Linked DNA regions of Sus scrofa. The protein of the gene in region 1 interacts with the protein of each later gene in a biochemical or structural test. Links are inferred from orthologs where the notes say so. Each region holds a gene or a part of one and is shown on either strand. Other genes may lie near its edges.

Region 1 (3,808 bases):
GCAGCAGCAGCTCCAGTTCAAACCCTAGTCTGGGAACTTCCATATGCCACAGATGCAGCCTGAAAAAAGAAGAAAGAAAAGGAACTGGAAGTAAGTTGAGGAGAAGCTGCCAGCATGAAAACTGGATGTGTGTGTGTGTGTGTGTGTGTTACATAATTGTATATTGTGTACTAGATATAGATACGCACATACATAGGTGTTCAAGAGAGTATGTGTGCTTCCTTGCGTCATCTTGAGGTAGTTGTTACTGTTGTGAGTGTAGACATTGCTTGATGCCCCAGTTTGAAGAGAAAATTTTAAGATCTGGGGCAGTCTGTGTATATTTTTTACTAAGTGCTACAAATACCTAGAAGAGTGTGGTACGTGCTGCGAAAACGCAATAAATAAATGCTGAATAATAGTAGATTTACATTTCTAGCCAGATGCCGTTCTGAAGAAATGTTTTGTTATAGAAGATATGAAAAATCATTGGACTAAATCATCTTTTCCGAATTTGGAGGTGGAAGCCTCGGAAACAGCATGCACGTAGGGGACGTCGTCTGCTCCCAGGCTTTACGTGATTACCTGTTCTTCCCGAGTGCCAGGCAGCTGCTTAGGCTTAGATAAAGGAGGCAAGAAGGGGCCACGGCAGCCAGCCACCTACTTGTCATGAACGGAAAACTGATTCTTGCTCTTTGCTCCCAACTAAACCCATCCCATAGACTGCATTCTAGACCTTCTGTTCTTGTCAGACCAGTTGAGAACTGGGAATTTTCTAGGGATGTTGGGAGGCGACATATTTGTGATGGATGTCCTTCACCTCAGGCGGCTCATCCACTGTGTCCGTTAATTCCTAGGCTTTCCTTTAGCTTTTTCTCTTAGGCAACTAGTGACTTGTCAGATTTACCAGTCAGGAGGGTCGATTTTTTTCTCTGAACCCATCACCTTGCCTGTTGCCACAGGGGCAGCTGGAAGAGGGTTGAGCTCCCAAAACAGCAGTGTCTGGATTCCTTACTGTTGTTATCGTGACCTTAGGGCCTCAGTCAGCAGTAGAGTCGCGAACATCTGTGTGCCCAGCCTTCATTCTGGATCTGTCTCCAGCCTCCTGTTTCAGTCTGTTTGATCTCCAGATCCCTTGATTATGTATTTACTTATTTAAAAAAAAAATATATATATATATATATATATATGTATAGTCTTTTTAGGGCCACGCCCATGACATATGGAGGTTCCCAGGCTAGGGGTCGAATTGGAGCTACAGTTGCCAGCCTACACCAGAGCCACAGCCACGCAGGATCCAAGCCACGTCTGTGACTACACCACAGCTCACGGCAATGCCTGATCCTTAACCCACTAAGGGAGGCCAGGAATCGAATCTGCGTCCTCGTGGATACTAGCCAGAGTCATTTCCGCTGAGCCAGAACGGACACTCTCTCTTGATTATTTAAAAGGAAAAGGCTTGGAGTTTCCTGGTAGCTCAGCAGGTTAAGGTTCCTGTGTTGTCTTTGCTGTGGTGTGGGTTCGATCCCTGGCCCAGGAACTTTTGCATGCCTTGGGTGTGGCCAAAAAAAACTGTAATAAAATAAAAGGAAAAACTGCCTCTCATTTTGTATGATGTCACCAGTGACACCTCAGTAATTGAGAGTTATTAGGAAACTTACTATAAAATTTCAATAGAATAATGATTGTTCCTCTTTGTGTTTGTTTTTAAAGGTTCCACTGTATCTAAGGCTTATGGTGCCTCAAAGATATTTGGAAAAGCTGGAGCTACCAGTGTAGTGAACAGCTCTGGGGGAACACAGGCCAAAGTGGTCCCCATTGCCAGCCTCACCCCTTACCAGTCCAAGTGAGTTATTTCATGGAATAAGTTTAGAAGGTACTTACAAAAGAGTATATAGTAAGTTATTATGGGCTCTTGAATTACTTTTGTGTGAACTTCAGGGTTGCCACACATAGAATAGGTTTCCTCTTTTTTTTCCAAATGGGAAGAAATTACAAATTGTGGCAACCATGATTTCTCTTATAATAAAGAACAGCAGAAAGAGCAGTCTGGGGAGTTCCCGTCATGGCTCAGTGGTAATGAACCCAACTAGTATCCATGAGGAAACAGGTTCAATCCCTGGCTTTGCTCAGTGGGTTAAGGATCTGGTGTTGCTGTGAGCTGTGGTGTAGGTCGCAGACTCAGCTCGGATCCCAAGTTGCTGTGGCTGTGGCGTAGGCCGGTAGCAGCAGCTGCAATTGGACCCCTAGCCTGGGAACTTCCATGTGCTGTGGGTGCAGCCCGAAAAAGACAACCCCCCCCCAAAAAAAGAGCAATCTGCCATAGCCCATGGAGTTTCATTCATTTTAAAAAAGAATTTGAGGAGTTCCCATCGTGGCGCAGTGGTTAACGAATCTGACTAGGCACCATGAGGTTGCGGGTTCTGTCCCTGCCCTTGCTCTGTGGGTTGACCATCCGGCGTTGCCGTGAGCTGTGGTGTAAGTTGTAGATGCGGCTCGGATCCCGCGTTGCTGTGGCTCTGGCGTAGGCCGGTGGCTACAGCTGCAATTTGACCCCTGTCCTGGGAACCTCCATATGCCTCGAGAGTGGCCCGAGAAATGGCAAAAAGACAAAAATAAATAAAATAAAAAAAATAAAAAAGAATTTGAAATTTAAAAGATTTAATGCTTGAAGAATCAGTTGATAGTCTCATGAGTAAAAATAAATATTCTAAATCTGAAGGTATTTTATTTTCTCATCGTATAAACAGGTGACTTGTAGTCTTAAAAGTATTACTGGGGTGTAGGTGGCTAAAAGAATCTGTACTATTTGTATCAATATTTCTTTTATATGACTTCTTACCATTAAACATTAATTTTTGCACTTTAAATTTAGGGAGTACTCTTTTCAGAATTCTTTCAGCTATGTTTTTATTTATTCTTCAATGCTTGGTAAGATCGGGGTAACCTGCTCCCCTGTGAGATAATGAGTGAGGTGCCTCGTGTCCTCAGTGCCTCTGCTCAGGATGGACGCCGGGTCCGGGTGTCAGAGCTCGTGCCTCCTTTTTTAGGGGCCTCTGTCTGAGGCCCTGTTGCTTGCGGGTGTTTTCTGCTGGTGGCTGAACCAACACCGTGTTCCACACCCTTGTATTTACTCAGTGTGTCGGAAACGAGGCAGAAGCCCGACATCAGGTGTATCAGTTCCCATAATCGAAAGCGGTGGCAAAATATAATTGCTGGTATGACTGCCTTTTCTCGCTTAGAACCTTTTATCAAGGGGATATTGTTGCCTTGGTGATGCTTTTTGGAGAAGGGAGAGCGTTTATAAATTTACTTATTTGACAGGAGAATGAGTCAGTGTTAAATCACCTTGCATGTTTTACTCTTTGCTTATTCTATAAACTGTCAAACCTGGATGTCATCGTGGGGTTTTAATTAGCTGCGTTAAAATACAGCTTCCACTGGAGAGTGGAATATGCATAAAGGAAGAAGGGCTACCGGAAGATGGTGGGGAACCTTTCAGATCTTTCGCAAGTGAGACTCCGAACACTAATATTGTCTACTTGGTTTTCAGGTGGACCATTTGTGCTCGTGTTACCAACAAAAGTCAGATCCGTACCTGGAGCAATTCCCGAGGGGAAGGGAAGCTTTTCTCTATAGAACTAGTTGATGAAAGCGTGAGTATTTGTCGCATGGGAAAGAGGATTTGACTCTGTGAGAAACAGAAGGCTCATCTCTGTGCAGGCCTGTGAGGTGGGAAACCACAGTAGGCCAAGAGGAAACGTGATGCTTCTTGTTAGTTTTCCTCTCTCGCAGTCTTTTGATGCTGCCTGGGGGCAGAGGGTTAAAG
Region 2 (4,590 bases), on another chromosome or scaffold:
CTCTCTAACCCACACAGTAAATATCTTCCAGAGGAATCTTCTGGAAATGTGGCTATCACTCCATAGCTGATCAGCTGTTCTGCTGTTTACCCAATCAAAGCTAACCACTTCTAGTATAACGCCCTTCCTAAACAGATCCATTTTATTTTATATTTTAATATTAAAGTACAGTTGATTTATTATGTGCAAAGTGATTTAGTTATATATATATGTACTTTTTTCTCAAAAAATTCCGTTATGGTTTATCCCAGGAGATTGGATATAGTTCCCTGTGCTATGCAGTAGGACCTTGTCAATCTATTCTAGCTCTGATTTTTTTTCTTGTTATGGCCATACCTTTGGCATATGGAAGTTCCTGGGCTAGGAGTTGAATTGGAGCTGCAGCTGCCAGCCTGCACCACAGCAACACAGGATCTGAGCCACACCTTTGACCTACACTGAAGCTTGCACTGGATCCTTAACCCACCGAGGGAGGCCATGGACCCATATCCTCATGGACACCATGTTGGGTTCTTAACCCATTGAGCCACAACAGGAACTCCAGTCCAACTATTCTAAATATAGTAGTTTGCATCTACTACATCCAAGCTCCCAGTCCATCCTTCTCCCTCGGCAACTACCAGTCTGTTCTTGTCCGTGGGTCTGTTTTGTATATAGGTTCACTTGTGCCATATTTTAGGTTCCACATGTGTTATTACGTGGTATTTGTCTTTCTCTTTCTTAGTATGATCATCTCTAGTTACATCTCTGTTGCAGCAAGTGGCATTATTTTGTTCTTCATTATGGCTGAGTAGTATTCCACTGTATATATGTACCACATCTTCTTAATCCACTTATCTGTTGATAGACACTTAGGTTGTTTCCAAGTCTTGGCTATTGTGAATAGTGCTGCAGTGAACATTGGGGTGCATGTATAAATGGATCCATTTTATTTCCTACCACATCTGAGTACTTAAAATGCCTGGCATTCAACCAACAATAGTTGTGACAGTCCTGCTATATTTCAGGTACTGTGTCAGCCTCTTAGAAACAACAATAACCAGAACAACTGTGGTTCCTGCCATCATGGAATTTACAGTCTAGCGGAGAACCCAGCCATCAGAAAAGTTTTTTCACCTATCAGCATCCGCGCCTTCTTCCTTGGACCTTTCAAAGGGTACTCCGAGAAACACTTGTCAAGAATCACGTGGGAGCAGCCATGGAAAACGCTCTCTTCAGCGGACCCCAGGAAGATGCGTTTTGAGAAGCGGGGTAATTCTCGCTCGCAACAGCGTTTGCAAGACTACGATCCCAAGGCCCCCCCTTCCCGCTCCGGTCTCAAAAGAGTCGATTGGTTTAAAGTTTCTGAGTTGATTGGTTTAAAAAATTACTGAGTTGATTGGATTAAAACTCCCACTGCATCACGGGAAATGTAGTTTCGGCTCTCCTTTCCCCCAACCCCAAGAGAGCTTTACGAAAGGAGCCGAGCGGGCCCGGAAATAGCCGAGTACTTCCTGGCGCGCCCTTTCCTGCCCGGTTGCATTCTGGGAAAGGACAGTTTCCGTTAAAAGCTGGAGGCTGAGGCGCGCGACCAGCCGCTGTCCCACGTGAAACGTTGCGGGAGCATCGTCCAGCGGGGTCGCTCCCCGCTTGCGCGGAGCGTCCCGGAAGCAGCGGGGAACCGGAAGTGGGCCCCGCGGGCTCAGAAGCTGATCCGAAGCCAGGTGTGAGGAGCCTCGGAGCGCAGCTACGGCAACATGTCCCTGATCTGCTCTAGTGAGTATCGCCTGTGGCCGATCGCTGGGCGCAGGAGGCCACAGAGCCGAGTGGGAGGATCTGCGGGCCTCTGCGGCGCCGGGGCGGGGGTGGAGGTGAAAACGCGGCTCCCGGGGGGGCAGGGCGGCGGCCTGTCAGCCCCGGGGGTCCTCCTCCTCAAGCGTGGGGTGCATTTGCGCAACGCTTCACAGTTTACATAACGCCTCAAGTGTATTGTCGCAGGCAGCGCCGAGGCCACCCACCTTGTTTGCGCAGTTGAACAGAGGCCTGGATAGAGGGAGCTGGTGCAGGGGAAACAGCTCTGCTGTAGAAATTAGGAAATGCGAGGGCTCGTGCAGGATCCGCCTCAGATTGGCTTTGTGATGTGGCGCAAGGATGCGGGCCTCAGTTTCCCCATCTGCAAAATGAGGGCCTTGGCACTGGATGTTGTCTGAGGCCCTGCTCGGGTAGGCAGAGCTTCTGCAATTTGCAAAGGTCGGACAGTGAGTTACAGGCTGTGACAGGGCTGGGAGCCAGGGACCTGGCTTCCAGCCTCACCCTTTACGGACTGCTGAAAACAGCGCACTTTTATAAAGCCTCTGTTGATTTACAGCTCGTTTGCAAGACTGTGATCTTGTTATGTTCTCATTTCTCCAGAGCAGAAATAAAGATCCTGTTTTACAGATAAGGATGTAAGGCTGAAGCAGAATGTGGCTTTTGTAAAACAGTACAGCTAGTAAGTGGTAGAGCTGGGTGATGGAGTCAGGTTCTCCCTGACCATGAATCTGTGCTTTTTTCAAATGCCTTGACCTGTCTTTCCTTTCGGTATTTTATTGTGATATTTTGTACTCATTGTTATTGGGTTATTAGTCTCTCATCCTTTTCTTTCTTTGCTTCCTAACTCTCAGGCCCTTTACTCCTCTCAGAACCTTTCCATAAATCCAAAAGAAAAAAAAAGGAAAGAAAGGGGGAAGGGAAATGTGACTAGATAAAGGAAAGGTACACCTTAAAGAAATTATAGTGTGCCAAGTATTTTCACATTCATTGTTTCAATCTTAAGGAAGCCCTTAAGGAAGCTCCATCCTTCCTCTCTTTGGCTCATCTCTTAGATGTTTACTGAGCGCCTGCTGGGCATCTGCCTTGTCCTGGAAGTCGGAAGCCAGCTATAATCTCTATCCTCAAGGGTGTAAATGATACCTCAGTTGGGGGTTGTTGTGGGGATGATTTAAGCAATGGGAAGTGTTTACAGGCTGTGCTTGGCACCTAGTAAACACCACGTAAATGCTTTCTCTTATTATAGCACTTGTCACATCTCTTTGAGAATCCATCTAGGCTTTAGCCTGAGGTTTAAGTGAGGTTTGTGTGTGTCTCCCTGTTCTGCAGTGTAATGGGTACCTAAGCATCTTTGTTCAGAAATGAGACGGGCAGAGATTATTGACTGCTCTCTAGGTACCTAGCATTTAGTCGTTGTGTAGTAACTATTTGTTGATTATTTGACTGTCAGGAGGCTGATGGAGCAGCTAGTTAGAAGGCTGGAAAGCGTTCTGGGTACAGACCAGAACTGGCTCTTGGTGTTCTGGTTGATTCTCATCGGTTGAGTGTAGGCCTCTGGAGGCTGGTAGTAGGTGAAGCATCCCTTTGGCCCAAGGTCCCTTCCCACAGCCCAGGCTCACTGCCTGCCTTTTCTCCACAGTCTCCAATGAAGTGCCAGAGCACCCATGCGTGTCCCCTGTCTCTAATCATGTCTACGAGCGCCGGCTCATTGAGAAGTATATTGCAGAGAATGGCACAGATCCCATCAACAACCAGCCTCTGTCCGAGGAGCAGCTCATTGACATCAAAGGTGCCTGCTGACTGGCCACAGTCCAGGGCCATCTTAGCTCAGAGCCTGGGGCGGGGGAGGAGGTGGTGGTCTGTGAACGCAGGCTGAAGGGGAAGCATGGGGGAGGGGCAGGCTGGCCGGCCACGGGTTTTCACACCCACTTGCCCTCTCTTGACAGTTGCTCACCCAATCCGGCCCAAGCCTCCCTCAGCCACCAGCATCCCAGCCATTCTGAAAGCCTTGCAGGATGAGTGGGTGAGTCCCTGGAAGAGAGTCGGTATCTTCCCCGCCTGATGGACTGGGCGTCGGGGTGGGAGGGCTGGAGCCTTGTGTTCTGTTTCGAGCTAGGGAGGGAGCAGAGGAGAGCCTGCTTGTTGACGTCACACAGATCTGGGTTCCACATGTTGCTCCCTTGCACACTTGCCTTGGGGTTGCTCGTATCACATCTGAGCCCTGATTTTCTTGACCATGTGACAGGATTGGTGCCTGTCTCTCTGGGTTTTGGGAGAATTGGGATAAGAGAGTATAAACTTCCTGATGTCAGGGACTCGTGTGACTCCTGCTAGAGCCCCATCATCGAGGGCAGTGCCTGGCACATAGTAGGTGCCTTGCAATATGAAGAATGAATAAGTCTTGAGCAGTCTGGCGCCATGCCTGACACAACGAGGGCGGTCACTAAATCGCAGAAGTGGCGTTGTCACTGCCTTTGGGGAGGTAACAGCATGATGTCCGAGAATTGCGGTGATTAGTGCAGATGGGATGGGAAAGAGCTGGCTCCCACTCCTGTCTGTGTGCCCAGTCTGGGCATGGGTGGGAGCTCAGGAGTGTCTGCCCGTGCCCTCAAGGTTGCTTGGATGCTACTTGGGTCACTGATCCTGGCCCAGGCCGTGAGGTAGGAGGCAGCGTCCTCTTATCCAGCGCTGACTCTTATGCAGGCGTTCATGCTGCTCCCCACCCCTCACTGTGGTGTCTCGTCCCCAGGACGCAGTCATGCTCCACAGCTTCACCCTGCGCCAGCAGCTGCAGACCACCCG

What was found.
Region 2: the proteins of RPA1 (region 1) and PRPF19 form a complex in vitro, tested with the Homo sapiens proteins (2 studies listed by BioGRID, with this or other methods). The link is inferred for Sus scrofa from reciprocal best matches to the Homo sapiens genes RPA1 and PRPF19.

Annotation. Positions count from the first base shown.
Region 1 is NC_010454.4:48,030,108-48,033,915, forward strand, and holds part of RPA1 (replication protein A 70 kDa DNA-binding subunit), read left to right. Parts: intron 1-1,692; coding exon 1,693-1,825; intron 1,826-3,532; coding exon 3,533-3,635; intron 3,636-3,808. UniProt on the Homo sapiens protein: As part of the heterotrimeric replication protein A complex (RPA/RP-A), binds and stabilizes single-stranded DNA intermediates that form during DNA replication or upon DNA stress.
Region 2 is NC_010444.4:10,850,059-10,854,648, forward strand, and holds the start of PRPF19 (pre-mRNA-processing factor 19), read left to right. Parts: upstream 1-1,720; 5' UTR 1,721-1,736; coding exon 1,737-1,755; intron 1,756-3,427; coding exon 3,428-3,577; intron 3,578-3,734; coding exon 3,735-3,811; intron 3,812-4,537; coding exon 4,538-4,590. UniProt on the Homo sapiens protein: Ubiquitin-protein ligase which is a core component of several complexes mainly involved pre-mRNA splicing and DNA repair. Required for pre-mRNA splicing as component of the spliceosome.